3 linked regions of the Drosophila melanogaster genome follow. The protein of the gene in region 3 interacts with the protein of the main gene of each other region in a pairwise test. Each region holds a gene or a part of one and is shown on either strand. Other genes may lie near its edges. The genes, in order: CG12182, CG5062 and CG14684.

Region 1 (10,968 bases), on a different chromosome or scaffold from region 3:
AACTAACAATGTACTGCTACACGTGTAATAAAATAAAGCACATTAATAACCCATAATCATTTATTTGTACAAATTATGAAACTTACTTGGGGCGCTTCGAAAATATTTTTCAAAACGAAGTAGCTCCCAATTTGAGACTATCTAGTCTAGTCAAATTTGATATACTTTAGATGTGTGCCCTTGGCTATCACCAAGTCGTCCTTCTTGTGCTTCAGGGTGCAATCGATGAAGGCAAGGTACTTGCCCACCTTGGACAGATTGGCCTGAATCACCACATCGTCGCCCAGTTTGGCGCCGTTTAGAAAGTTTACACTAAGATCTACCGAAACTCCGGGATGACATGGCTTGGACATTAGGGCGTAGGTGGTTATCAAGTCCACCAGGGTCATGATATAACCGCCGTGCAAAAACTTGTACAAGTTCACATGATCCTGGTCCACCTTTAGCTCAGCAGTGCAGGCTCCATCGCCACCGTCTACGATCTTGACCTTTAATGGAATATAAGGATGAGATAATGATATTGGTAAGGAGACTCTATGGTGATCTAACCTTCTGTAGGTGACTTTCAAAGCCCGTTGACTTGTTGATAATCTCGGTGATGTGTTTAGCGAATTCGAGTCCCTTCTTGCGAGTTCCCATATTATTTATTGATGTTGCTTTACAGACGATCCGCTAGCTTCTATATAACTACAAAATGAATTAGTTTGTCCGATCGGAACGATTAGAAATATACTAGATTTAGTTTTGTAGATAGATAAGTAGTCGTAACGTGCACTTATATCTCAAGTGTCAGATAGTAATTGTTTTACAATAGAACAATCCAACTTTATTGTATGTATGACGTGTGTAAGTTTGGATGGGACTAAATCCATTAAAAAATAAATCACAGTAGTATATTAACAAATGGATTGCTTTGATTTTTTCAATATTTGATTTCATTATCTTCGAGTGCAGTTTTCCGCTTTTCGATGAAAAGTAAACAATTAGCAAGTATCAAAAAATAAGGTAAACATAATATAGCACGATATTATGAAATAGTTAGTATTTAGTTAACGGATCCTACCTAACTATCCCCGTACTGCCCGAAATTTACATAAAAATCTGAAAATCTAACGTAACACCTAACAAAACAATTTCAAAACAAACAACAGCTGTTTTGCGATAAGCAGAATCGCCAATCGATAAGTTAAAAGGGCAAATCGATATGCAAAGTCCTACCTATTTAAAAATTATCCGTTGGGATTTCTATAGTCTTTCATCTATTTTAGTTTTAAATATCTTTATTTTGTAAATTAAGAAATAACTAACTTAAGAAATAATAAATAATTAAACTAGTACGTCTTAAGCAGAGGTTCGAAAGATTTTATTTCGTTTTCTGACGATCTACAAAAATTGTTTTAAAAATCCAGTTTTTCCTTGTCGAACTGAATGTACTTGACCTGTCCGCCCTTGGCGATGATCTTTCCATCGGACTTACGCCTCAGAATGCAGTCCAAATAGGCCATTTTCTTACCGGCCCGCACGGTATTACAATCAATTTCAATAAGTTCGCCAGGTTTCGCTGCTGCAATGTAGCTTACATTCAGGTTGGCCGTAACTCCGGGATGGGATCCTTGAAATTTAAAAAAATTTCATTGTAGATTCTATAGATTGTAATAAACAAACTTTCAAAATACCTTTCGACATAAGGGCATATGTGGTACAATTATCAACAATTGTTGCCGTAAGACCACCGTGCAAAGTTCCTTGGCGATTCAAATGCTCATTGGCCACAGTGAACTCCCCTATTGCGCGACCATCTCCACCGCCTGTAATTTTAATCTGCGAATTGAAATTTGTTTACATTTTTGAATCTCTGAAGATCCCACGAGAGAGGTGAGCACTTCACGGTTATCGATTGCAGCGAGCTGAATTATGTAATACCATCACTGATGACAGTCAGCTGTTTTTGAGAGACTTCGACGGCGTCGCTTTAAAATCGGCTGCACAAATTGTTTAGAATCTTACCATTTTCAAGACGCGGTCGAATCCATTGGACCCGCTGGCGTACTCGGACATCTGCTTCACAAAGTCCTTTGAAAAGAAAGAACTTCAGTTATCTACTCAACAAGTTACATGGTGCTCTAACCATTCCCAGTTTCTTGGCCGCCATTCCGGTGGATTTGGATTCCTGAACTGAGCACGACGAAATGACGAAAGTTACTGAGGGAGAAATTTCACATGGCGTTCAAGATGTCGGGAAATGTGAGTGTATGCGTGCTAAATAGATATACCCACACATCTGAGATAGTGATTGCCGATTTCGCGCGGTTTGTTGTGCTCGCTCTGTTCGCACTTACAAATAATTCCTATTCTTCAATGAAATAGTGTAACTGGAATATCTTGTAATATAATTGCAGTTTGTTATTGCAATTAATAAATGTTTAATTTCGTTCTAGATTATCTGGATTTTCACCTTCTAGCCAAAGGATTCGTCCGCCAGGACTCGGTACACGACTTTGTAAACAGCGATTCCGATGGAGACTTTATAGCACTGAGCGGCTCCAAATCGGAAGTGATCACTCTGGAATTGAGCAGCAAGTTCATGGTCGTGGATCCCTTTCCGTATTTTGTGGCCATTTATGATTCCAACGCTGCGGAAACACGACCTCTGGACGTTTTGGCCAACAAAGTGGATCTGGTTGCCATATACGACAGCTGCGATGTCCTGGAGGCACAGCACTTGGCCCTGGACCCGGCATACACGGCTGTGTGCTCCGTTGCCGTGCCACCAGCCAGACTAACAGCTGTTAAGCGAGCACCCAAGCTGGCAGCTAATGGAAATCTCCTCCTGGGCTCCCTCAACACTTATGGATCCTTGAGCCTAATAAACAAGTCCGCTGAGTACAATCGTTGGAACCCTGTGGAAGGACTAAATATCGCTGAAACTCTGAGGGACACTCTGCTGCCTGAAGTGGACATCGCCAAGATAAAAGACTTTAAGAGCTATCAAGAATATATTAATCCCGCCTGGATCACTATGTTTGCTTGGTTACCTGATGATGCAGATGCCACTGGCCAGCATGTTTTGGTTCTGGGAACAGCCGCAGGAAGTTTGTGGTTGCTCACACTAAGCGCCGATGTCAAAACTCTTTTAAGTCATCAAGAAACGAAAACCTCAATGGGTCGTATCTGCCATATACAAGCTTTCAAGGACCTTCTACTGGTGGGCGATAGCAACGGACTCATTCACCTGTACCAATTGCCAGCTAAGGGAAATACAGCTCTCGCCTTAGTGAAGCCCTTGTGGGAGAAAGCCGATCGCATGGGTCTGCAAATGGCAGTGATCACTGAATGTCCCAGAATGGATTGCTATTATATAACCTGCTGCAAGGCGGCGCACCTGCTGACCTGGAGCATGCCAAGAACGGGGAGCACAGACTGCCTGCAAGCTCGGATCTATGTCGGCGGAATGAAGATCACCGCTCTCTGCAGCCTGGAGAACAGTAGCTACGTTGCAGGAACCGCTGGAAGCTGTTTGTCTTGCGTACAAATTATCCACGAGAATAATCAGCTTAGCCTGCAGATGCAATCGATAGCCATGGGTGTCCTTCAGGATTTCCAGGTGATGGGACTGTGCACCAGTAGGCACAAGAACTTAATGACCCTGTTACTCTACCGCAACAAGGAATATCTAAATGAAACTGTATCTCAAAAGAACCAGTTGGTTATGCAAGTGCTCAAGGTGGGGAATCAGGATCCACTTGATCAGCTTGTCAGGCATCTGGAATCCAATAAGCCCATGAATCACTATACCGATTTATTAGCTGGACTACGTCTGCACGTTTTTGCCGAGGAGAATTGGCAAAAATTTATGGACTTTTGTCCATTAGATTCCATTGAATTTGCCGATACCGCCACTGAAGGTCAGCTGCAGCAGCTGCAAATTAAATTTCATGTTCTTCAAAACGTGATTCGCCTGCAATCGAGCCACCTCCAGCTGACAGTTCACATCCAAAAGTCCCGGGATGAACTGCAGCTGCTCCTTGCGATGCTGAATATCACACACATAAGACTGAGGCTCCAGTTTATTGGGTCATTAAGTAAGAGATCACCATTCCAGGAGCAGGCGATAAAATGTATGTTCGAGGAGGCCCACAGACTGATAAATAAACTCAATGACGACTTCACGGAAAACCATGCCCTAGGATCCACAGCAAGGACATTCGTTGAACAAATGGGCAACCATATTCAGCACTTGCACGAGATGCTAGGTATACCTGTGATATCTAATCCCCAGAAGCAACTTCATCGATGCAGTGTGTCCTTTGTGGAGGTAAGAATTCACTAGAATTCATTTTAAGACAAGACTACAGTATCCGTACAGATCTCCCTCAGCTTGGAGCGACGCTACTGCAGCCTCTGCAACCGCCAAATCCTATTCGAGCTGGACAATCTGCAAGAACTCTACGAGTCGGGGAGACATCTGACATGTCCCGTTTGCCATGGAAGCTTTGCCACGGAAATGTTTAATGCATAAACGTTAAATTTATTCTCAATCTTAATTACGAAGTGTTTTGTGTGTCCGCCTCTAAGAGCAAAGCAAGTGAATCCATGGAGACACCTCACTCGGCTTCCAGATGCCGACACACATGGTCAGAAAAGGTGTGTGTGTCATTGTTAGTACTCGGAAACATAGATAATGGGAGTGGTCTCGATTAGCAGAATGTCCTGCTCCACCTGGCGAAGATCGGACTCCAGCTTGCTTTTGCGCTGCCGCTTGGCGATGCTGTCGATAAGGAGCGACATCGACTGATACTGCTTGGTCATCTCGGTCAGGCTCAGTCGCAGTCCCTCGAGGATCTCATTTCGCTCGGCCTGCTCCATCACCCGCATACCCGGCATTGGCGGCGGACCACTTGATTGGACGGATGCCCTGGTGAAACCCTTGATACCGCGGCACAGCTCCAGCAAACGTGCCTGTTCCTTGGCACACACCGCATTCATGTCGGCCAACATCCTCTTGGTTTTCTTGAGGTAAACAGGCACCTTGCCGAAATCCTTGCGGCAGATAAACTGCGGTACCAATCCGGAATTGAGTAGATCGTGACGAGCTCCCACGGGAGTGTCTACATAACGAGGTGGCGGGGGACAGGGAACCGTTTGTCCGGCACATATCTTGTTGCGTTTGATGAAGTTAGGTACCATTGCCGGCTTTTTGCCGCCACTGCCCGGTGGTGGTAGTGGGGGCATTGGCGGCATCTTGGGACACTTGTGGGTGTTCTCTCGCCGCCATTTGATGCCCTGGCTCTTGCGCAAATAGGCGCACGGTGGGTCAATCGGAGTGTGAGCACAGCCCATGGTGCGGTGGGCTGATTTCTTGGCCTCTGTCAGGACGCGGGTTCCATCGTTCTGGAGGATAATCGATAGCTTCTTGTCCTCCTCGTTAAAGCGTTCGCGAAGTCTCTTGGCATACTTGGCTGCCCTCTCCACAACAGCTGCAAAATTGCTTAAAGTTAGGTGGGAGGTAACGATTTTTAGTACGAATCCCTACGATTTTTGTAGACAAAAATTGATTCCTTAGGTCCTTGGGCCTTCACAAAGTCCTGCTCGCACTCGAGAATATTCTCATCGTGATGGGTGATATAAACCAGGGACATTGTAATACAAATATGTAAGGATGAAGGTAGGGAACTCGAAAGCGTGCTAGTTTACTGACTATTCGTTTAATAATAACAGTCTGTTTGGTGGAGACTCCTGCGTTGCCAAGTACCTCTGCGTTGACTTGGATTGATTTAACTCGAAACAAAGGTTGCTATAGGATTTCCAGAATAAACAGAAGGCAACATCGTTTCCTGGTGATATTGTAATATTCAGATATTTTCTAGCAATCGGAATTCGATATTTGTTCTGGATCTTTTAGGAGAACACACAAAATTGGTATTATTGTATATATATTTTTTAAAGCACAAAATCAAGCTACAGCTTGTGTCGCACACGAGTTACATTATTAAATTGTAAATAATTTGTTACCATATAAAATTCGTGTATATAAATATTTCGCTTGCGTATATAAAATAATTGTTTGCATTGTAAAATTAGCACTAAGATCGTTTGTCATGGTTACATTTTGATTCCGAAGCTTAACAATAAACATGGAAGTGTTGGAAGCACGATTTAAATACGAATACGACATAGATTCAGATACGGGTTACAGATTACAGATTCAAAACAGCACACAGAAATGCTGGTGCCGTCTTACAAGCTAGATATGTGGTTTAATGAATAATGAATTTGACGATGTTAACGAATGTAAAAGCCACTCGAAATTTGCACTGTTTTTGGATGGGGTCAGCTCTCCTCAGCTGACCACCAATAGGCACTACGAAAATCTCGGATCAGCAACATGGTCCTTCCTTTGCTATTGCACGTTGACAAGTAGATGTACTGGAGATATGATTTCATTTAGCTGAACCAGCAGTTTCACTTGTTGCCGCTGCTCTCGCGCTCCTCTCGAATCCTCTTAAATGCCTCCGTCTTGACAAAGTCCACGGATCTATAGACCACGCTGCTAGGCACTGGCGCTCGAGCTCCGCCAGCTTCGACGCCTGCGAATCGCATTCCACTAGCTCCATTTCCGCCTTGTGAGTACAGATTCCCCACACTCATGCTGGATCGATTTAGCAATGGCGGTTTGTTGGTCACATCCAGATCAAAGTACTGCAGCTTGTGCTCAGTCTGCGCCGCCGCTTGCTGCTTGGGAGCAGCTGCTGCCGTCAAGCTCATCATGGCAGCCGCTGCGGAGGCGGTGCGCTGATGTTGTACCGACATGCTGCCGGGACTGTTCGGATGATGCCGATGCTGTTGGCGAGGCAGGGTGCGGGTCTCGTGAAAGAAGGCGTTGGCTGCCGCCGGGGAGTGTACATCCGTTTCATGCGGCAGCACCATTGAGAGAGGGGCACCGGAGGAACGTCGCGTTGCCGGCGACATGGTAGCCGAATTGCCCAACTAAAAAGAAGTCATTAGTAAATTGAATATGGGTGTGCACAACGTTTGTCACTCACCTTATAGGCATTCGGTTTGCACTTCCTGTCCACACTGGGCGGTCCAATGGGCTGCTGCAGTTGGGCTGCACCCAGTTTATTGGTTAACTGATCTACGCCCACCGGGGGCTTTGCAGGAAACTCCTCCGGCGGTTTGTCCTCTACAACTGGCAATCCACCCGCCACCTTTGGCTTAAGTTTCCGGTTAACCGGCGGGCAGTCCGCCTGCTCCATGAAGTCGTATCGAAAAACATTGCCCTCCATCTTTGTGGGAGCTGCATTGGTGTAGCAGTGTCGAGGCAATGTGCGCGCACTGGTGGGCGATGATGCGACTGCCTGTGCCTCACCCATCAGGCCGGGATTCGCTGCCGCTGAAATTGCGGCCACTGCACCCAGATCGGCCGCCATGAGATTCGGTGTGGATGCTGCAATGGGATTGGAATTGTGCGGGCTGGTGACTGGTCGCTCGCCCAGCAGCTGGTTGACGTTGTAGTAAGGCTGCTGGTGGGACCTTGGAATGTCATAGCTTTCCTCGATGAAAGCGGAGTGCGCGTTGCGGCGGGCCACAATGGCCGGCGAAGTATTTTCCGTATCCGACAGCTGCGGCAGATCGCGAGGAATTCTGTCAATGCGCAGGATGATTTAGTAGGCCGTTTAAAATTGAATTGAGTGTGTGTTAACTCACTTTTCATTCTCCTTAAAGTCCAATATGAGATTATTTTTGTTCTTCAGCACCTTGGCCAGCTTATCCAGCGTTCCCTGGTCACCAGCCTCTGGCAGAGATGCTGCTCCTGCTAGCTTGGAACTCTTTTCAGCTGGTGGCACGATCGCTCCTCCTTCCTCGGGCATTTTAGAGAATCGCTGCGAGTACGTTAGCACGAATGATTCGTTTTCAATGGAACTATCCGAAGGTCGGGTACTGCGATCTGTGAGAAATCTTTGTTTACTACGAGAATTCGCTTTGATATTTGCCTTTTGAGTACTTACCCACATTCTCGCGCAGTGGCAAAGGATGAGCCCACTCATCGTCATCGGTGAAAACGCTTTCCGAATCGGAGTCGGAGCGTTGTTTACTAGCATTGTTATTGGCCAATTGTTGCTGAAAGGCCAACATGATAATTAATTATAAATAATGCTTGACGCGCATCGTTATCGCTATCAACTTACCAGACTCAAATTGGTTATCTTCGGTGAGTAGGATTGATCGTTGGTCAGATTTAGACCTATGTTATTATGACTACGCGGCGTATCGTAGAACTTGGGATCCAAGTTGTTCAACGGCGTGGTGGGGTTGTTTGGTATGGCCAAATCTGCGCCGGGCAGTGGAACGCCGGGCAGGAATCTCGGGCTGCCCGAGAAGCACTCGCTGATGGGTATGTACGGTCCGGATGCGGTGCTCAAAGCGGGTGAAGCCTGTACGCTGCTGTGTTGCTGGGCAGCTGCCTCCGCCAGGGTCTGCTGCGTGAGCACCAGATGCTCCGGCAATTTGCGCACTACTCCGTTGGCACTGACCGCCAAGCGAGCAGCTTGTTGCTGCTGCTGCTGCAGTTGCTCGGCGGCTGCAGCTGCCGCCTGAGCTTGGATCAAAGCACTGTGGTTTAGATAAAGAGCCGTGGCCGGCGATGGAGGCGGTTGCTGCTGGGCAGCCGAGAGCAGTTCCTGCTGATCGAAATTGGCATCGCAGAGCATCGTCTCGCGATTGCTGTACTCCGTGTTGACATACACCGAGTCTGAGTTATTGTTGCCGGCATTCGAGGGCATCGGTTGCTCTTCAATGACCGCCGGTCGTCGCAGCTGGGCAGATCCTCCAGCATTTGGGACCGAAGCCTGAGGCGCTGTGGTTCCGGCCGACGAGTGCAACGATGTGGTGGTCGTATTTTGAGTGGAGTTGCTTAGACCGCCACTGGAGCTCGTGTGTTGGGTGCGGTTTTCGTCTGGGTGTTGCAAGAAAAGAAAAACTTAAGAAGGGGTTCTTTGGACATGGGCTTGCGGACACTCACCTGCACCCACAGCTCCTAATGGCAACTCATTCGATTGCTTTGTGTCGTGTAGGTGACACACCTGGCAGATGCAGTTCACCCAGTCGCGCATATCCGCCTCCGTCTCAGCAGCCAGGTAGTAGGTGCGCTTGGGCGTCTTGATATCGAACATGTACTGAAACTTCTGCTTGCGATTCTCCAGCCGCAGGCCACAGTCCACCTGCTCGCACTGATCCAAATCGATAACGCCCTTCAGCTTGCGGCAGTTGTGGTCGGTGTAGTATTCGAGGCAGAACTGCTCCGGTATCTCGCCCTGCTTCAGCGTGAAGTAGCGACGCCTCCAGCGCTACAAAGATAATTTGGAAACAAGGCGTTAAGAGTTGCAACGAGGCGTACAGTTGGAAAAGCAATAGTGATTTCTCCTATGCCATTACACACACAAGATTCCTTCATAGCGACATATGTTAAATGGGTCGTGGAATTGCAAATATCACACGATAAACTGTCTTTGTTTTTTTGTAGCAAAACAATTCAACAAAGTCAAAAATTCCCCCAAAATGAGATTTGTAGATATTGCTTCTTTTGCAAAGAGTCTGAGAATATTAAACAAGATTACACTGTTACAAATTGTACTAAGATGCCTGAATAGTGATGACTAACTTCATCAGGTAGTTACTCATCAGGGCGAAGAGCAAATGAACAATCTTGATGCTTACAATATCATTTACGCATCAAAAATGTAATTTTCCTAGAGATCTGATAATGCGGTATTTATGATTAGAATATAGTGAATCATTAGCAAATTTTCTAGAATTTGCGACACGCCAAGGCTTTCTTTAAGTCTATCTCTAATTATACTATATCTTGCAGTAGTTTAGCTATATATAAACGTACTACGCGAGTGTACCGATGTCTCCGTTCTGGATTAAGATACCCTTACTGAGCGATGGACTCCGGTTGTTGATATGAGGGTAGGGTACGGCTGATCAGCTCAACGACTGAGTACACTATCACTGCTGGTGAGTAAGCGGGTGATGAAGCCCGAGTCAACAGAGACTGCAGCGGCGCTGCTTTTCCGCGAATCATATTTTGCATTGGCATTTTCTTGGGTAATCAGCAGACACACACACAGAAATAACACCCCCGCCCACGTTACCGTTAAGCGGTTAAGAAATTAACAGCTGAGAGGTTCGGGAACCCGCTGAAAACGTAAAACTCCAGCTGATAATGGATGGTTTTTTTCGGACTGTATAATATCAAGCTTAATTGAATTATAAACAATAAACATAATGCCGCACACAGGCCAGAAATTGGCACCCCGAGGCGCTGGAAATACGCAGCTCATTTTCTCGAGGCATCATTAGAGTTTGTTTATACAATGGCGCTCAAGATATTAGAAACGCAAACGAAAATGTGCGGGCAAAGGTTCTATTTTTAAAATGTTTCTAAATTTGTTTACTTTTAACGCGCCGGAAAGGGTTGTTTTTAAAATTAGATAGCTGCTGTAAACCTTTACAACAAAATATTCCATATTTTGTACGAAGTTTGATGTCAAGAGGTTAGTTATTTAATTTATATTGTATAATCTTAAGCAGTTTTCAAAATAGTGTGATTGAATACTACCATTTTGGACGCTATTGCACGCCTCAACATAAGCAAACAAATTGAGTACAGTGAAACCATAAAGTGGGTTTGCTGTAACTGAAAATTCTGTGCTGCAGACCTTTTGATCAACGGTTTGGGTGTTCTTGGAACTGTCGTATCCATTATAAGTGGTTTCAAATGAACGCTCTAGAGATGGGCACACTACAGAGTGTCGTGTCACGAACTCCTGAGGGAGAACTTCTATATTTTAGCTTTACTAGTTTAAAATCCAGTAAAATTTATTTGTCTGAGCAAATCATTCTATTTATATTTAATAATATAAGCAAACATACTTTTCAACTATTCATCCCCTAAATGTTTAA
Region 2 (10,815 bases), on a different chromosome or scaffold from region 3:
AACAAACTAGATTAAAGAAGTAAAAAAAAAAAAACCAAAAATTCAGGAGAAGAGAATAACATGGTTATCGGTCAACGGCAGGCGAAGAACTGAAGCTGCAGCAAAACAAGTGACCCACAAGTCACAACTACTTTCCATATAAAATTTATAGCCAAGACGGAATAGGGGGAAAAAGAAAAATAAAGACAGAGACGGAGAGAGTGGGAGAGGGAAAGAGATAGAGAGAGAGAGAGAGAGAGAGCATCGGGGGCTCTATGGGGACTATCAACAACCAGCAGAAAGTAGACAACGAAAACACCAACAACAAATGAACAGAATGGGACAAGTCGAAATGAACTGCGAAATGCAAAATGTCATTGTGATGACTTTGTGGGCAGCATTTGGGCACTTTGTATACCGAAATATACGAGCATATTCCAGGAAGGCAAACATGACACCAACTTGGAGCATCAGTCACGCCCCCAACTGCCATATTGGATCCACAAGACGAAGACCATGGCCATGCCCATGCCTATGCCACCCCACCGACTCCTCGAACTTTTGACCGCTGACTGGGGACTAATAAAATTCAAGTTAAATGGTTGTTAAAAATTTATAGCAGACGCCTCGGCTTCCGTGTGCCATTTCGAAGGCATTGGGAAGAAAATAGCAACAGCAAGGCGCTACTTTTGTGTGGAAGGGGGGGTAGAGAGGAGTTGTGTTCTGCAGAAGGCCGGGGTTTCGCATAGAGGTAGCCACAAAAATTTCAGGCACGCTGCCCAACATCTAAGGTAGTCACCAATAGAAATCTAGATTTATGGCATCCGTTTTAAGGCAGCCAAAAATTAAATGGCTTTCCGTTATAAACATAAAACCATAGGTTTAATATTCCATTGCACTTTACCATATTAATTAATTAATTTCTTCGTGAATCTAATAGACTTAAGCCCTTAAAGTGCCAAAAAGAAAAAAAAAGAAGTATTTCATATTAACTTTGAACAATATTTCCTCGAAATTCAAGTGGAAACTTTTGTCGCCTGACCAAAGGCCTCATACATACACATACATATATGAGTTTTTCTCTTCCCATTCTTATATTTGATGCTTTTTGTTTTGTTTTCTAATTCTGTCAGCAGTTACAGTTGAAGAAAAATAAGCATACAGCTGCCTGACAGTCCGGACAGCAGTCTTGGTGCTCCGGTTCCTCTGGCTTTGGCCATAGCTTCTCCTATAGCTTTTCCCACATCTCTGACTTTGGCTTTGGCTTTGCCAGCCGGCCGTCATCCGTTGGCTCTTCCGCTTCCATGGGTCCTGGGCGCTCGGAGCGTAATTTATCTGCTGGAGGAGCAGCAGTTGTAAAAAGGGGGGGAATTCCGCCTGTCAACAGGAGTCCTACGTTTCGAGTCCTCTTTGGCCATGGGTAAAATTTATGCAAACCGACGTATGGCCAACAGGATGAGCGAGTGGAGCCAGAGATATATGACCCCCTGCACAATCCAAAAAGGAGGGGAGCTCAAGGAGAAAGGGTGATTTGGAGGATATGAGGGGTATGCCCAGTGTATTAACTGCAGCTAAATCAAAGTTTTGAGCCCAGTTATGAATTATTTGCCATTGTTCAGCAGGCGAAACATTCCTTTGTCGCTGACTTTGTCCCTTTTTGGCAGGAAGCCCGATGGTTTTCCTTTTCCCTCTCCACACTCCCCACTTCCCACAAGCCCGCTCCATATACCAGCGCGGAAGGACACTACGATCCACCTGCCGAGTCATTCGAACCCCGGCCCCCGCCAAGTCAATTTGAACAACATTTTGCCGCAGCTCTGGTTATACAAACAAGATTCCACATTCCGCTTCTTGGCTCTCGTTTTCCTCGAAAGGTTTCCCTCGCTGTTCCCCATGCCTATCTTATTTTTCTGTCTAGCTGTGATGATTTGCCATTTGGGGCAGGACCGTCCTAGAGGCACGTAAATTGAATGGCCGGAGCCAAAAGGTTCTGCAACCTGAAGTAAACAAAACAAAAAAAAAAAAAAAAGTCTAGCAAAAATTAAGTGAAAATAATAAACCTTTCGCACACACACATTTTCTGCTGGTGGTGATGGTGGTGACTTGGGTGGTAAAGGAAAAGGCAAATGCTGAAGGGAAAGCAAAAGGGCATTACACACACGTTGACCAACGGATGTCCTGCTGCCTGATGGCATTACAGTTAATTAAAGGTGAACCGATGGCCACAGAGTCCTGCCATCCAGCACAGTGGGTTCAAGAGTCCAGTAAATTGGATTTAATTTCAATATATGTATATTGTGACACTATTTGTACAGCCATTTTTCGGATATTGATGTGTACCGTTGGTTGCAAATAACTTTTGGACTGCAATCTTGCCACCCTAAAAGGTAGTTGTGGATAGGGAGTGATTTTTAATGACTTTCACGATTAAATGCCCAAGGAATCATTTTCAGTGGACCGGAAATTATCCCATGGTGACTGTGCGCATGTGAGCGGAGGTCCACTGTGTGTGTGTTGTGCTGCTGCTGCTGCAGCTGCGTGTGTGTGTTAGTGTGTGTGAGGGCCATGGCAAACTGGAAACTTTGCAAATGAATGGCAAGGCATTGGAAATAATGAGCCGTATTTACATTTCAAAGCGCTCGCACAGAGCGAGAGCTGTAAAAGTTTTTAGCCTCCCCAACGGACTACGGGTCAAAATCAGTTACGGAACTCTGAAATGAAGAAGGATTGCGAGAAAAGAGGAATAAACCCACGGAGGCTGTTGTTGTAGTAGTTGTAGTAGTAGTTGTAGTAGCATTGCACACGCACACGCACACGCACACAGATGAAGCCGGGTAAATCTCCTCCAGAGTTGTGTGGGGAGTAAATTGCGAAAGCTTTCGGTGGCAGGATTGCATACAATTTGTTTTATGGCCATGGCGTGCACATTAAACGCGCACTTAATCACACGCAATGGGCGTGGTCGGTGGATCGTCCCACCGCCCACCATCGTCGTCGTCGTCTACGGCGACAAATCAAATTGATTTCGCTTTTCTGGCTGGCTTGCCCGCTGCCCTTGCCCAAAAATTTGTACGCCCCCTTTTTTTTTTTTGCCCCTTTTGTTGTGTTGTTTTGCGCCTTATTAAATCACTTTTATTGCCATTGAAATGTGAGAAAAGTTTTACGGAGACGATGCCCCCCCTTGTCGTATATATTATAGTACGTAATATGATTTTTAGCTGCTTGCCAAAAAAAAAAAATAATTCATATTTATGGCAAAAACTTCACGCTCAGCGCGATGTGAGAAACATCGGTGTTATTGATGTCTGGCGAACAGGAGTGTATTTCGGGCGGAACCCATGCAGTCAGAGGTGGTCGCTGTTGGTTGTCCATAGTGAAGGCAACCATTTGCCCCACGGCCACCACACCATCTCATCGGAATCTCGAGTATTTGGTATTGGGTGTCGAGTAGCGTAGTAGATGGAGATGTCTCTTTGTGCGCCCAACAACACAAGCGCCACACAAATAGACAAGACAAACACTATGGGCTGGATATTGAGTTTCGGTTTCGAATTCTCTTCCAGCATTCGTCATATGACGACTAAAATGGAATTTGGTCAGTATCGAGTGCACAAAAGACTCCGGCTAGTTAAGTTATACATATACCAAAATACCGTAAAATAAGCATAACTTGAGCAAAAATAATCATTTTCGAGCACTTTCGAGCAGCAAGTGACATGCGGTATTATAGCCCTGCTTAAAAGCCAGCTTGTTGAACTATATATATTCCTCCATTATCCTTTTTTTTCTCTCACCAGCCTAATCTACGGGCAACAGCGAGATTTTCACAAAAAAAATATATAAAAAAAATAAACCAGCGACCCCTATATTCAGGCACTGCGTTTCAGCGAGGCGTGTAATTAAATTTTCATGCCACCTACCTGGTGGCTGGATTTCGAAGGGAGAGTAGGCGGTGGGGCAAGCGGGCCATGGGCGTGGCACTTACATACAAAGAATGCAAATTGTCGGGGCTATTCCAAAATGCAAGCATCAACGCCTTCGAATGCAACCAAAGCAGGCGGAAGTAAATGCAGCAGCGGCGGCAGCCTTTCCCTTTTTCCCCCAACTAGCTTTCCATATATCCTCGCCCCCCCCCCCCCCCCTTCACTTATCCTCTAGTTTTTCCTTCTCACCTGCCACTCGACAAAAAACGACACTCAAGTGGTCAGGTGTGAACAAGTGTAGAAGCAGCGTACACGAGCATGTTTAATTTTGGGATACTCAAATGTATAACCGACCTATTAAAGGAACTCTATGATTCAAAAAGTACCTGTGAGCCTACATTCCCAGCAAATACCCTGTAATTGTAATGCTATACCCAGCAAGCTTTGAATTCATGTAGATTTAACCTGCCAGATTCGATTGGATAAACAAACGAAATATACGAAACAAGCAAACAAAACAAGAGCCTCCGAGCAAATAACACAAACAGACACGCCAACAAACCGAACAAAGGAACAAACTCAATAGCTAAGCGAGAAATCTGCTATTGCGTTTTACCCCACACCCCTCTGGCCATTTGCAATTTCAAACGCGATATACATATAGAATAGAATTCGTCAAGATGCCAATGGTGATGCCATGTCGTTCGCGAGCTGCGATGAAACTGCACCCGGATTGCTATGATCGACTTAAGAAGCCGATTTATCTGGAAACGCCACCATTATCGACCGTCGAAGAGGAGCCACTATGTGGCGTACGCCGTGATAGACCCGTAAAGCCAAAGGTTCAGAGGCGACCATTACCGCCCGGCACACGTCTACCGAATCCAGTAGCCGTGCCTGGACAGAAGATCACACGTTCGGCGGTGGGTGGCGGTAAGGCGCCACCGCGAGCCCGAAAATACGACGGTGCCAAGGCCACGTTCTTTCACATCAAGGGTCAATCATGGGAATCCAAGGGCTATGCGGAGCTCTCACAGTGCGAACTGGATCGCATGCGGGCATCGAGGCCGCGTACCACCGAGGAGCGTCGCGCGGAACAGGATCGCCGGATGGAGGAGCAGCAATATCATACAGCCGAAGCGGAACGTATGCGTAACTATTTCCACGACATTGATGAGCAGCGCAGGGAGAAGGAGCGCGAGGCCCAGAAGAGGGACGATGACGAGGCCGATGAGGATGTCAACGAGGATCGGCGTGCGGAGGCCAAACGATTGCAGGTAGTTTTTTGGTTTATGGTTCTTAGCCATATTTCCGAAAGTATATCTCCACCACCCATTGTAGGTACTACACCGCGCCTTGGATGCCAAATACGAGTCAGATGTGCGAGTTAAGGATGCCACGCGTGCGATATCCGAGGCCAAATGCAGTGCCATGTGGACGGCTCAGATACAGGAAAGGAAGCTACTCAATCGCATTCAACTCGATCATGACGAGGAGATGGCTCGCAAGAATCGCGACTACAACAATGCCAAATGGGGCACGGTGGAGCAGCAAGATCAGGCCGAAGAGGAGAGGCGCCGGCAATTTGGCAACGCAGTGCGTGAACAAATCACTGATCGCGAAAAGTTACGTTTCCTGGCCCAGGATCGTCTGCGATTGGAGGCGCGAGACTTGCGTGCCGCCGTCGATGAGTATAAAAAGGCTGAATTGGCAGAGGGCGAGATGAAATCGCGCCGTAAGCTGGCCTATCGGGATGAATTGAATAAGTATACGAAATTGCATCGCAATTTCGTACGGATGATGTGCGAACAGGATCAAAGAGATGAGAACAGGGCCTACGAGTATCTAAAGCTCAAGGAGCAGCAATTGAAACAACAGCGAGCGGAACGCGAAGCCATCGCGGCGGATGAGAAACGCAAACGGGATGTTCTCTTTGCAGTCGGCCAAAAGATTCTCGATGCTAAGGATAATCGCGAGGAGATGCATTTCCTGGCGGAACACGAACGCCTCGAACGAAAGTACAGAGAAAACGAACGTAAGGCAGCCGAAAAGGAACGCAAAATGGCCGCCGAACTCAAGCGTGCCAATATGGAGCAAATGGAGCATCTTAGCCAAATGAAGGCCTGCTTCTATGTGCAACGTGAACGCGAACTAAAGGAGATGATCGAGTATCGAAAGAAGCACGAGGAGCAAATGAAGCGCGAGGCCGAGGAGCAGGCCATCAAAAAGGCCTGTCTGCGCTCCAGTGTCTCGTGCCAAATCGAAGAACGGGAGAAGGCTCGTCGCCGCGAACTGGAGGAGGAACACTTGGCCTTCGAAAGGGAGCGGGCAGCTGAGGCGCAGCGGCAAAAGGAAATCGATACGGTGATCACAGTCAAACTGGATGATCTACAAAAGCGCGGATGTCTGCCCAATTTGGCGGTGCAATCGCTAAAGGGTCGTGTCGCCAATGCTGGCAACAAAAAGAAGCTGGGCGCTGAATTCACTTAGATAGTTATATTTTCTAAAAATCCATCCATAGACAGACAGCATCAAACACGCGCACACACTCACTCCCACACACACACACACACACACACACAGACACACACATGAACTCAAGTTGACAATGGCATAGATGATGACTTTTCGAGCTTGGCGGAATTAAAACTTGCAGCACATATAAAATGTACATAATGTATATGCACGTATTTTAGCCACCCTGTGGTGGCAACTTTTCCGTGTGTTCCTCGCCTTTTTTGTTTGCTGTCAATTCAACAAGTTAAAACTGCAGACCGCAGACAAAAGGATATATAGACTGGCACTCATTAAGCAGCAGCTGATAGAGCAAACAAAGTTTTTTCTATCGCTGCGCTCACTCTTTTGCATGTATTAAATATGCACACAGATTGCACACGGTATTCGGTGCAACTAAAAGTCAACTTTATCCTGTCGCATTTGCGGCTGCAAAAATAATTAGCCACACAAGTAATCAAAAACAATGGGTTCAAATGCAGTTTTGGGCAGTGGTGTTACTGTTTTATTTAAGGTTAATTATTAACTAGTTTATGATCTAGGGATTTCGCGCAGTTTTGTTGAATATCATTTATTCGTATAAAGGATAAAAACTAAGCAAAACACGCAGCGAAATCGAGTATAAATCACAAAAGAGGCGCCACAGCCACGCCTTCTCGCACGAAGCTATCAATTCTGTAAAGTCAGAGAACAGAACGCTGAGATTAATTGAGTTGGATAAATTTCGCCGGGCTAATACGTCTTTGGGAATTAACCCACGATAGATGAGTGGGGGTTAAAAAGGCGCACACAGACACACAAGGATTAGGGTAAATTAAGTTGAGTTTAAGTAGAGAGGCATTTGTTTCACTTAAATTCGCGAAATTAGCAAAAATTAATTTCACTCGGATGACTATTGATTCGATTTTGTGAAATATTCACAAGAAACAGGCACACGGGCACGAATGGGTTAAGCTGACCGTGACTGCATGGCTGTGGGTCATCCATCCATCGGCATAGCGGCGGGTTAATGATGCAGAAGAATATTGCCCTTGAATGAACTAGCAGCAAGCAAAAAGGCCGAGATGAATGTGTTTCTGGGTTAGCAGAAAATGCCTCTCAATGGCTTAAATACTTGCCATGATGCAGCATTTATGGCAAATATTCACACACACACACACACACACGCACCCACCCACGCACATACACTCGCATATGTACCGCAACATACACACAATATAATTGCCAGTTCCTGCCTGTCGAACACAAAACAAAAATCATAGCATACTTTTCTGTGCGCTCAATGCGAATATACAGTTGTGGGCGAAATAATAGCGTACATTAAAATCACATGCTTAAGACTCTTTCAGCAATCAAGTAAAATTAGAACACCCTTAATTCAGAACCTTTAAGCTATATTCTATAGATACCAAAGATATTCTCATCAATATTCGCATCTTGTGACCTATTATGTTGAACGCACATGTACGTACACATATATTTGTTAAATGTGGAGTACATGTATATGCACACGCACACATACGCAGGCAATTGGAAAGAGGGTAGCTGTGTGTGAGTGTTGCGCGTGTGTGCGTGTGTGTGTGCTTGGTAAAAACAAACAATAGTAAAACTGATTAAGTCGGGGAAAACCACATCAAGCTAAACGATGATGAAGAAAAGACCAAAAGATTACGAACGTTGAACGCTGAGCACAAAAGGGAGAGACAAATGGTTGAAAAGAAGAGAAATGGTAAGGGCAGTGGAGAAAGAAGGAGGAGGACGATGAGAAGAGGGGGGGCATGGAGATGAGGAAGGACATGTGGGGAAAGTTAACTTGATGCGGGCCAAGGATAGACAAACACACATGGTCACTGGAGATGAAAACGAGGTCCAAGGAATAAAAGAATACAACAAGAAAATTCTACCACATATCGAATAATTGAAAGGATATATGTACGTATGTATGTACCTCTATATGTATATGTACATGTACATACATTTATATAGGGCAGATAGGGAGTCTGCTGCGACAATTTGTAAGATATGATAGTAATGCTCTACAGCTTTTCCTCCTTTCTTTCCCTGTTCCCCTTTGATTTTTTTTTTTTCATTTTTTCCTCCAACAATGACAGCAAAATTAGTCATTGTCCTCCGTCTTTAGCTCCCATCATTTGCATATATGTGAGAGCGCCTGGCTGTGGCTGGGTCTCTGTGTTTTGCTAGTCCTGACAATTATGTACAATTTACTTTGCATAACACTCGAAAGCAGAGGTTTAAAAGCCAGGCCCGCCAGGAATGAGAAGGAGACTGGGACGCCAGAGACCTGGCCAAAGCCAACTAGTTAGCATATTTGTTGTTCCAGTCCCCCCAAGTGGCTAAGACCCAGAGAATTCTGCCAGGAAAAAAAGCCAGCAAAAAAGGAAAAAAAAGCGAACAAAACGAAAAAAGCGAAGCAAAGAATTGTAGGGAGAGAAAAAGCAGAAACTGAAACTAGAAAAATTAAAGCGAAGTTAAACCAACAATCTAAACAAAAAGTAAAAAGTTTCGAGAGGAGGACCAACCACATGGAAGGGCCAGAATTTTAAACTGTGCGCCCTCTTCCCCACTCTCTTCCCCTCATTCTATCTCTCAACGAGCGAAATACACAAAAATCTGAACCCAAAAACAGGAAATGTTAAATAAAAACCAAATAGAATAGAATCAAATATGCAAGAATCTGTATGTTTAAGTAGTTTTGGATGTAACCTTACTAGTACTCTTTGCACACCACACGTGTGCGATTGTGTTGATTGACTTCGCAGCTGCAAAAAGTTGGGAATTATTAGAGCCGGGCTTAGCTAGCGATGCAGAGAGAGAAAAAACAGGTGACAAATTGACGGTGGCTTATGTGTGTGAGTGTATGTCCGAGCGAGAGTGAGAGAGAGAGAGAGAGAGAGATAAAGAGGTAGAAGTTGGAGTTGAGTTGGATTTTCGGGTGTTAGTATGTGGTGGACAATGAAGATAAAAAAAATCACGTGATTTACGTACAAAAAAAAAAAGTGGGCTGGTGCAAAAGTTCTTGTCCTGTTAGGTGAAAGTGAAAGAAATGTTATTGAGGTTCGAAGGAAAAAAAGAGTGCAGTTGGGTGTGAAAAATATGACCACTTCTCTGAGCAAGTTTGACTATTGTTGGTATATCATTTTTTCGATTATTTAGGGTGAGAGGCAACCTTTTATTTATCGTGAAATATGCGCAATATAATTAGATTTAATCAATGTGAAATAGGACTAAGGTGAACAGTGCAAGCCGAAGACCAAACCAGTGGTGAAGGGTGAGGGGCATAAAGAACAGGTGAGTGAACAGTGAATATAAGCAGGTGAGAAAACATAAAGGCAAAAAATATAATAATGTTCGAGATATGCTGTGCGAAATATTTTTTGAAAAATTCTCATTGGCATTTTTTTTTTTTTTTTTCTTCTATTTGTTGTGTTGGTTTTGGCTTTTCGGTTTGGGTTTCCTTTTTTTTTTTCTTCTTGTGTTTGACTTGGTTTCTTGTTTCTTTTCAGCTGGTTGGCTTATGGTTTTTAACTTTTTGCTAACCTTGTGTGGGGTGTTTCGCTTTGGGCAATTTTGTGATTTTGGTTGCATTTGGTTCGATTGTTGGTGAGCGGAATTTGAAAACTGATTTTGCATTTATTTCGATTTGATTTGGCTTCGATTTTTGATTTGGCGATTTTCGATTCTCGATTTTGATTGATTTTGTATTTTGGTTTCGGTATATTGATCGATTGAAGTGCAATATGGTGAAGGGCTGTACAGGTATGAGAGAGCTGAGATATCGAATTGAGTTTTGAGTAGAGTGATCTGATTTGAATCTGAATTAGAACTTTTCCGATATGCTATAGATGCGCTTAACGCTAACGCACTTGCGTCGCAGTCGCTCGCACTCGATTTCCCTGAAGTCTGCGTGAGAATTGGCGCCCAACGACGTTGCCTGTCCCGAAATGCTGAGATGGTGATGATGATGATGATGATGCTCCTGTCCGGTGGCGATGTCGTCAATGGCGATGTGATGAATCCTGGTTAGCTGTTGTCGTGTGGCGGCACAAATATCTGGCTCACTGGTAGCTCCTCCCACGTAGGGATGCTGCTCCTCCCGATCCTCCTGCTCTTCGTTCTGCTCCTCTTCCTCCTCCTCCTCCTCTTCGTCGTCGTCGTCGTCCTCCTCTTCGGCTGGCGAATACCGCTGATCTTCGGATTCGGCAAGATCGTCCAAAGTCTCGGCCAAATACTGTATCTGCTCTTCCTCGCACTGAGGGCACTGTGGCTCTTCGATTGATTCTCTTGCCTGATACTTTATCGGTTGTGATCTTTGATTCTGACTTATAATCGCCCTCTTAAGCTCCACAAATAGCGGTGATGAGGGTTGCAATTGCAGTGG
Region 3 (8,979 bases):
TCTGCGACAGCCCTCCCAAGGTCCAACCTTTGGCATCAAAGGAGGAGCTGCTGGCGGCGGATACGCCCAGGTGATTCCCATGGAGGAGTTCAATCTCCATCTGACAGGAGACATTCATGCGGTATCGGCAGCCAATAACTTGCTGGCCGCCCAGCTGGACACCCGCATCTTCCACGAGAATACCCAAAAGGACAAGGCCTTGTATGACAGATTGGTGCCCGCGATCAAGGGTCAGCGGAAATTCAGCCCCATTCAGCTACGCCGGCTCCAGAAATTGGGAATCACCAAAACCGATCCCGATACCCTTACCGCTGACGAATACGGACCTTTTGCCCGGCTGGACATCGATCCGGACACGATTATGTGGGAGCGTGTGGTGGACATCAACGATCGGTACCTACGCACCATTACCGTTGGGCAATCGCCCACTGAAAAGGGTATTTCGAGGGAGACCCGGTTCTCCATCTCGGTGGCCAGCGAGATCATGGCTGTGCTAGCACTATCCCGAAGTCTGGAGGACATGAAGCAGCGGCTGGCTGACATGGTGGTGGCATTCGACAAACGAGGCAAGCCCGTAACCGCTGACGATTTGGGTGTCACCGGTGCCCTGGCAGTTCTTTTGAAGGACGCTCTCGAGCCGAACCTGATGCAGTCGCTCGAGGGAACTCCAGTGCTGGTGCACGCTGGTCCCTTTGCCAACATCGCCCACGGTTGCAACTCGATCATCGCTGATGAAGTCGGCCTAAAGCTGGTTGGTAAAAATGGATTTGTCTGCACGGAGGCCGGGTTCGGATCAGATATTGGCATGGAAAAGTTTTGCAACATTAAGTGTCGGACATCCGGTCGCAAGCCGAACGCCATGGTGCTGGTAGCCACTGTGAGGGCCATCAAGATGCACGGCGGCGGAGCTCCCGTCACTCCCGGAGCCCCCTTGAACAAGCAGTACACCGAGGAGAACTTGGAGCTCGTCCAGAAGGGTCTGCCCAATCTGCTGCAGCACATCGAGAACGGAAAGGCCTTCGGCATGCCAGTGGTGGTGAGCCTTAATGCTCATTCAGCAGACACCCCGGCGGAGCATGAGTTGGTCAAAAAGGCTGCTCTGGAGGCAGGTGCATTCGCCGCCGTAGTCTCCACTCACTGGGCGGACGGAGGAGCCGGAGCCGTTCAGCTGGCCGATGCCGTGATCAAGGCCTGCGAACAGGGCAATCAATTCCGATTGCTCTACGATCTGGAGCTGCCGCTGGTGGATAAGATGAACAAGATCGCTACGACGATGTACGGCGCTGGAAAGGTGGTGCTCTCGCCGGCGGCTGAGGAGAAGGTCAAACGCCTGACGGATGCGGTAAGTCGAGAACATTTTCTTCGAGAAACTGAAAGTATTTATAGAAATGCATTGTTCAATTCGCAGGGTTTTGGCAATCTACCTATCTGCATGTCCAAAGTCTCCGGCTCCTTCACCGGCGATGCCAAAATCAAAGGCGCCCCCAAGGGCTTCACCCTGGACGTTGAGGACGTATATGTTTCAGCCGGAGCCGGCTTTGTGGTCGCCATGTGCGGTGAGGTCACCAAAATGCCGGGTCTTCCCACCCGCCCGGCGATCTACGATATCGATCTGAATACGGAAACCGGAGAAATTGAGGGCCTATTTTAGACGGCAACCTGGACAAGGGAGAAGATTCCTAATAACTTTCAACGCCTTTTCACATCTAATTCCAGAGTAGTAACAAATTTATCGTTTTAACTTGTATATAAATGATATAGAGATAAGATTTAAAAGTCGGTAAACTAATATACATTTCTGACGATTTGAGTTTTCTTTAAAACTATCGAGTTTTTACTTTTCAGAAGCTAAAGAATGGAAACGAAATATTTTTAGTTTTTATATATTTTCATGATATTATAAATGAATTTTTTTTTATATGTAGACAGGTTGGAAATATATAAATTACACGAATACCTATTTTTGGCCCTCAAAAGTAAGGTAGTATTCTTGCACAAAATCGCAACCAACAATGCATGATTTTTGCTGACTACTTTCAAGCCGACTTTTTAGGTACTTTGTCTTTTTCCAAAGTTCCCCTTCTTCACTGTGCTAACGTCACTCACACGAGGCGACTCAAAGTAGTCCACCTTTCGTATGTTAGACACTATCTTGAAGTAATTGGCAATGATCTTGTCCACTTCTTGTCCCTCATATGCGGTGGCCAATTCCTTTTCACATCGTGAGACTACGTTCGTGAGCAGACCTCCGGACCGAAAGAACGCTATGTTGATCTCCCGTTTGACCCACTTGCAGATATGTGAATGGGTGACTGGCTCGAAAAAGTGAAAGATCTCGTAAAAGTGCTCGTAACTCTCGCCAAATTTTCGCATTTCAAGTTCACCCAACTTGGGAATGTCCAGGTGGTTTCGTCTGATGATATGATATGGGTCGTATTGCTCCGAAAAGTTTGAGAACCGAACTGCTGGCCAGTCGAGGTTCAGAAGGGTGTTGTAGAGATTCTTCGGGTGGCCAAGGATTCCATGGGACAGATCAATCAAGCGGAGCTGCGATCCGGGCACAACGTACTCCAACTCGATCTGAGCGATGTGAGGATCAGTGCCCCTATACTTACGCTTTCCTATCCACAGAATGGGCAAATCCTCCGTCACAACATGCTCCAACTCTTGGACCAGCGGAGAGATCTGGACGCGATAATTGAGGTTCTTGTTGTTTCGGCCGTAAAGAAGACTTCGCTCCGCCTCCGTGAACTCAAGGTACTCAGGGCGGACGGAAACAAAGTGCTCCGACCGGAAAAGCCGATTCATCTCCATTTCGATGACGAAATACGCTCGGCGATGCATGCATATCCAGACTATTTGGATGGATACTGCCAGAAAATGCTCATGGAAGTACTTATCGTGGATAGTTGCTGAAATGTTGGAAATCGGCTTCATGTGGTAGTACTTGGCCATAGATCCCTCGCCCTTGATAATCTCACAGTAGTTTCGGGCTAATAGCATGCGGAAGTGGCTCAGGTAAACGGAATAGGTTTTCTTCATCTCAGTGGTCTGCTCGCTCTGAATTTGGGCCATCTGGCCAGAGAGTTCATCTCTGCGAATCAGGACGAACTCCACCAGGCGTAGGTAGTACTCAAAGTACAATGTTAAGGCGTGGAGCACGGACTGCACCTGTGGCTCATGCATGAATTCAATGAACTTGTAGGTTAGAAAGTCTTTAGGCATCAAGTAGAGCACCAGATCTCGAATATCTCTTAGCACCACTGTGTCACTGGTGTTGGACTTGGCGCGTACATACTCCTGCCGGAAGATAAGCTCCTCCTCTTGGTCGATGGTACGCAGGAACTTGTACCCATTGGTGATTATATAGCGCTCTCTTGCGTTTTCCAGATCGTTGTGCGCCTGAAAGTTGAGGCAGTCCTTCTCCGAGTCCCATGACCACTTGCCGCTGTAGTACTTTGGAGCGTAGTTATCGACATGGACTCTTTTCATCGTAGTCGCGCAGATAAACCAAGATCGGGTTGTGTTTAGTGTTTTTAAAGTGTATTTAAATTGATGTGTACGTGACGAAGTTTAGTGGAATTATGCTCATGTTTAAAGGCCTAAAGTGAAGTTTTATTCCCAAGCTCCCACCTACGAAACCCATACCCTTGATCGGATGCCAATGTCTTTCGTCTTCGTGCATTTATTATAAAATAGCAATCCATAAGTGTCAGTGCTTTAAAGCTCCGATTTTCTGTATATATAATAATATGCAAAAATTGCAATTAACGTATAAAATTAGGTAGTTTTTTTTACCGCTTTGCCTTGCCTACACTAAATCGCGATGCAATACTACTACGCGTAGATGATGCATGCTCCGGATCTCTATCCTCCTTGCGTATTTTGGACATGATCTTAAAATAGTTGGAGATGATCTGATCGACCCTTTGTCCTGAAGATGTGCTTGCCAACTCCTTTTCACAACGCGAGACTACGTTCGTGAGTAGACCTCCGGACCGAAAGAAGGCTATGTTGATGTCTCGTTTGACCCACTTGCAGATCTGATGGTGTGTGACCCGCTCATGAACCTTACAGAGCTTGTAGAAATGTTCATATTTCTCTTTCATTGTACGCATCTGAAGCTCACCTATCTTGGGTATTTGCAGGTGAGGTCTCCTGATTATATGGTACGGATCGAACTTTTCCGAGAAGTTTGAGAAGCGGACAGCCGGCCAGTCGAGACTAAGAAGCGTGTTGTAGAGGCTCTTGGGATGGCCCATGATGCCGTGCGATACATCTATAAAGCTGAGCTGCGAACCGGGCACAATGTACTCCAGCTCAATCTCGGCAATGCGGATATCGTTTCCTCTGTACTTGCGTTCGCCTATCCACAAAATGGGCAAATCCTCTTCAGGAACCAGCTTTAGCTCCTGGACTAGAGGCGATTCCTGAATTCGATAATTGTAGTTCTTTTTGTTTCTGCCGTAGAGAAGACTGCGCTCCGCCTCCGTGAACTCGAGGTATTCTGGGTGGGCGGAAACAAAGTGCTCGGAGCGGAAAAGGCGATTGATCTCCATTTCGATTACGTAATACGCCCGGCGATGCATACAGATCCAGACTATTTGGATGGCCACTGCCAGAAAATGCTCATGGAAAAACTTATCGTGGATTGTTGCTGAAATGTTGGAAATCGGCTTCATGTGGTAGTACTTGGACATATTATCCTCGCCCCCGATGATGCGGCAGTAGTTTCGTGCAACAAGCATACGATACTGGCTTAAGTATACCGAAAAGGTTCGTTTCATATCGTTGGTCTGCTCGCTCTGCACCTGACCCAGGGGACCGGAAAGCTCATCCCGACGTATAAGTATAAACTCGACCAGTCGCAAATAGTGCTCAAAGTATATAATCAGGGAGTGAAGCAACAAGTGCGTATCCCGCTCGTACATGAACTCAACGAACTTGTAGGTTAGAAATTCTGAAGGCATAAGGTAGAGAACCAAGTTTCTAATATCTCCGACCACCACAACGTCACTATAGTTGCTTTTCGGTAGCACATACTCCTGTCGGAAGATGAGCTCCTCCTCCTGGTCTATTGTGCGCAGGAACCTGTAGCCATTGGTCATAATATAGCGCTCTCTTGCGTTTTCCAGATCGTTGTGCGCCTGAAAGTGGAGGCAGTCTTTCTCCGAGTCCCATGACCACTTGCCGCTATAGTACTTTGGGGCGTAGTTATCCACATGAATGCGCTTCATTGCGTTTGGCAGTAAATAATGGTATAAATTTATAAAATCGTATTTTAGTCAAAAGCAGTGAAAAATCAGTGTCGTTACATTGAGAGTTAAATATTTATGTTCCTCAAAAAGACTGAAATTTAGATGCTGCAGCGACTCCGATTATTTAAAAGACCAAATACAATAATTTCCAAGGGCGTGATTTTTCTGTCAATCTGTATTCTCAGAATTTGTATTTTCCGGTACCACGCTGATTTAGGTGACCGGTGTTTCCCGGACTGTGCTAAGCATGTTCCGCCGCACTAATGCCGATCCGGTCATACGGCAATTTATTCTGCGCACTGCAGTCCTCAATTATCTTGGCAAGAGTCTGCGAGAGCAGTATAATGAATATTGCCTTTTGAGAACCCAGCACGAAAATATTAGGCTGAAGACTGCGAGTGATCAAGAGCTTGAGGACCTGCCGACTCTTTCCGAGCTATTTGAGATGCAACAGTTGAAGACGGCTGCCACCCATCGTCTGCTGATGCGGGAGTACCAAGAATTGCTTGCCTACATGATGGACAAGAGTGATTTGTGGGACAGTCAGGAGTACTTCAAGGCCAAGTCTGCGCTTGGGGCGGCCATCCACAATCTACGGGTTTGTGCACCCACCAAACCAATGGACTAAAACCAGTCGAGAGGAACATTTGCCAGATAGAATTCCATTCAATCAGTATATATACATACATAAATAGTGAAACGATCCACGAGCGACTTAACTACTTGTAGAAGGGTATCTCCACGCGTCCGGATTTCGTGTTAACCGCCTCCCAGCAGGTGCACGCAAAGGTTGAGCGGTCCATGTGATCGGTGTATAGTTTTCCCTCCAGGTGATCCATTTCGTGCTGCGCTATCCGGGCATTCCAACCACTCAGAGCCAGTTCGCTTTGGTTTCCTAGTTGGTCAAGGCCTGTTAGCTTTACACCTTCGAAACGCTCCACTTCGGCAGAGTAACCTCGCACACTCATGCATCCTTCTGGATGCTTCAGCTTCGCGTAGTTGGTCACCGTCAGGACGGGATTGATGAAAATCTGTAAGAAGCAAACCATTGTATTATAGGGTTTGGGCTTCCGAACACAGCTAGTTAGGACCCCAGTCTCACAGTCAGTGGCAACTCGGACATTTGTCGGGCTTGGTAAACGGCCTCGGGCAGCTCCTTTCGGATCCGTCCCTTGAACTCCATTGCTATGATCCTGAGCGATACTCCAATCTGAGGAGCCGCAATGCCGACGCAGTCGAACTTCCTTAGCACCTTGACCATCCGCTCGACGATGGCCTTAATCTCGGGGCTAGCCATGTGCTCCTTGGGCACCAAAGCCGCTTGTTGCCTAAGAACAGGGTCACCAATCTGGGTGAAATGGTTGTATGGCGGCAAGTTTGTGCGCTCCGTGGTCCACAGGTGCTGGTACCACTTCCTGAACGACTGATTAGCGGGAGGACTCGTTCCAAAGGATCGACAATGTCCCAGAATCGCTTGGCATACTTTTATCCGTGGTTTCAGGTGCATTTTGTGAAATGTTTAGCCTCCTTTAATATTCCGATCAAAATCGTAGGGAATATAGTTACACAACACGGTCATACTGGCCAGCTGACCGGCTAGGGATGTGAAAGTATGTACCTATCGATATATCGGTGGAAATAGATTTGATATTTGGCGCGCTTTTAAATATATGCTAGGTGCATAAAATACTTTTTCCCCGCACACAAAGTTTATTTCGTAAACAGCGCATTCATTTCAGAAGTGTATTTTATTTTCAAACAATATACAAATATGTTGTATAAAGCGCCATAAAAAAGTGAAAAGCTCCTTGAATTAAATGCAACCAAGTTATTACTTGTGAAACCAAATGGCGGATCGACCTTCAGCTGCGTTGATTTGCTCCCAGAGGATGCAGTTGAAGGTGGAGAGATCCATCCTATCCATGTAGATAGTTCCATTAAGGTGATCCACCTCGTGCTGGGCGATCCGTGCGTTCCAGCCCTCCAGTTCCATTTCCGACGGAGTGCCCAGCTTGCCGATCCCCCGGATCCGGACCTTATCGTACCGTTCCACCTCAGCGGAATAGCCTCGCACACTCATGCAACCTTCGGGATGCTTGTTTACTTGGCTGCTGATTATCTCCAGCTCCGGATTAATGAAGACCTGCAAGCAAATGATTTATGATGAGAAATCACGGGATTGTTGCTGCACATAAGCAATATTTTTGTATGCAGAAATTTAGTTTCTCAAATTCATACGTTTATAAAACTGCATAGATTTACATATATTTTTCGAACGCGAAAAGAAAAGCTTTACTTACGGCCAAGGGCAGTATGGACATCTTACGCTCCTCGTAGATTTCCGGCTTGAATTGCTCTTGCTTTCCCTCTCGGAATTCCATAACGATAATACGCAGCGGTATTCCAACTTGGGGCGCAGCCACGCCCACGCAATCGTAGTGACGTAACACCTTTACCATGCCGTCAATAATCTGGTTGATCTCCCTACTATCGATGTCCTCGGGCGGCACCTCTTCTGCCCTTTGGCGCAGAACAGGATCCCCAATTTGGGTAAAATGACGATATGGCGGAGCGGACATGATTCTGGTCGGAAGAAGATCTCTACTGAACCGTGTCTATCGAGCAACTACTGCACAGAGCTGTCGAGGTGGACAGATTTTGATACGATAGCCTTATCTGGGGATCAGCTGATCTGCCATTTGAAACACTGGGAACGATAAGTCTACGGTTCGCATTTTAAAGCGGAAATATATACCTTAAAAATCCAATACAATTTTTTAAAAATACTAGTAATATCCTACAATATTAGTAACAACAATATTGCCAAGCTTTCAAGATTTATAAGTATTTTATTCACGAATAAATAATTTTGAAGTATTTGAAGTCTCTTGAAAACCTAATGGATGTGTACGACCTCAAATCAATCGAAATAGTATTCCTGTGGCGTTTTCTTTTGGCGCGGCGAATTGAAGCCCCCGATCCGCGAGGAGGTGATGCTAACGTTGTCCGGTTCATATGGAGATCCCTTGCGCAGCCTGGACTTCACCTTAAAGTAATTGGATATGACCTGGTCGACCTTGGTTACCGGTACCTTTTCGGCCAGTTCCTTCTCGCACCGGGATACCACGTTGGTGAGCAGCAGTCCCCCGGAGCGATAGAACTGGACGAGCTTGTCCCGCTTGAGCCACTTCTGCAGGATCTGCACGCTGTGCGGCTCGTAGATGCGATACACCTTGTAGAAATGCTCGTAGTTTTCATTCATCTTGCGCGCTTTCAAGGCGTCGATCTTGGGAATGTCCAAGTGCGGCTGGCGAATGATGTGGTACGGATCGTAGCCAAGCGAAAAGTTTGAGTAGCGAACTGTGGGCCAGTCCAGGTCTAGGATGGTGTTGTACAGATCCTTCGGATGTCCCAGTATGCCGTGTGCCACATCGATCATACGCAGCTGTGGTCCCGGCACAATGTACTCCAGCTCCATCTCGGCAATGCGCTTGTCGTTGCCTCGGTACTTTCGCTCGCCAATCCACAGGATGGGCATGTCCTCCTCCGCCACGTGCTCCAACTCCTGGACGAGCGGCGATATCTGGGTGCGATAGTTAACGATTTTATGGTTCCGACCGTACAGTAAACTGCGCTCCGCCGGCGTAAAGCTCAGATACTCCGGACGTGCCATAACAAAGTGATCGGAACGAAACAGACGGTTCATTTCCATCTCAATGAC

Evidence for each region.
Region 1: the proteins of CG14684 (region 3) and CG12182 interact in a two-hybrid assay, tested with the Drosophila melanogaster proteins (one large-scale study listed by BioGRID).
Region 2: the proteins of CG14684 (region 3) and CG5062 interact in a two-hybrid assay, tested with the Drosophila melanogaster proteins (one large-scale study listed by BioGRID).

Annotation. Positions count from the first base shown.
Region 1 is NT_037436.4:2,590,541-2,601,508, reverse strand, and holds CG12182 (uncharacterized protein), read left to right. Parts: upstream 1-1,929; 5' UTR 1,930-2,007; coding exon of another isoform or gene 2,008-2,073; 5' UTR 2,074-2,128; coding exon of another isoform or gene 2,129-2,152; 5' UTR 2,153-2,189; coding exon 2,190-2,244; exon of another isoform or gene 2,245-2,384; intron 2,385-2,438; coding exon 2,439-4,315; intron 4,316-4,366; coding exon 4,367-4,519; 3' UTR 4,520-4,659; coding exon of another isoform or gene 4,660-5,477; 3' UTR 5,478-5,533; coding exon of another isoform or gene 5,534-5,639; 3' UTR 5,640-5,667; downstream 5,668-10,968. Other genes in the region: CG16986 (uncharacterized protein), read right to left, coding at 147-488, 550-639; CG16985 (uncharacterized protein), read right to left, coding at 1,398-1,612, 1,677-1,821, 2,008-2,073, 2,129-2,152; CG16984 (uncharacterized protein), read right to left, coding at 4,660-5,477, 5,534-5,639; dos (daughter of sevenless), read right to left, coding at 6,463-6,987, 7,044-7,644, 7,708-7,948, 8,010-8,121, 8,190-8,956, 9,023-9,347.
Region 2 is NC_004354.4:5,175,948-5,186,762, reverse strand, and holds CG5062 (uncharacterized protein), read left to right. Parts: upstream 1-4,393; 5' UTR 4,394-4,582; coding exon 4,583-5,179; intron 5,180-5,243; coding exon 5,244-6,392; 3' UTR 6,393-6,581; downstream 6,582-10,815. Other genes in the region: CG15465 (uncharacterized protein), read right to left, coding at 10,255-10,815.
Region 3 is NT_033777.3:10,701,498-10,710,476, forward strand, and holds CG14684 (uncharacterized protein), read left to right. Parts: upstream 1-5,476; 5' UTR 5,477-5,505; coding exon 5,506-5,886; 3' UTR 5,887-5,963; downstream 5,964-8,979. Other genes in the region: pug (pugilist), read left to right, coding at 1-1,342, 1,409-1,651; CG31391 (uncharacterized protein), read right to left, coding at 2,050-3,492; CG31467 (uncharacterized protein), read right to left, coding at 3,795-5,237; CG31278 (uncharacterized protein), read right to left, coding at 5,978-6,289, 6,361-6,765; CG31373 (uncharacterized protein), read right to left, coding at 7,090-7,401, 7,559-7,837; CG14689 (uncharacterized protein), read right to left, coding at 8,179-8,979.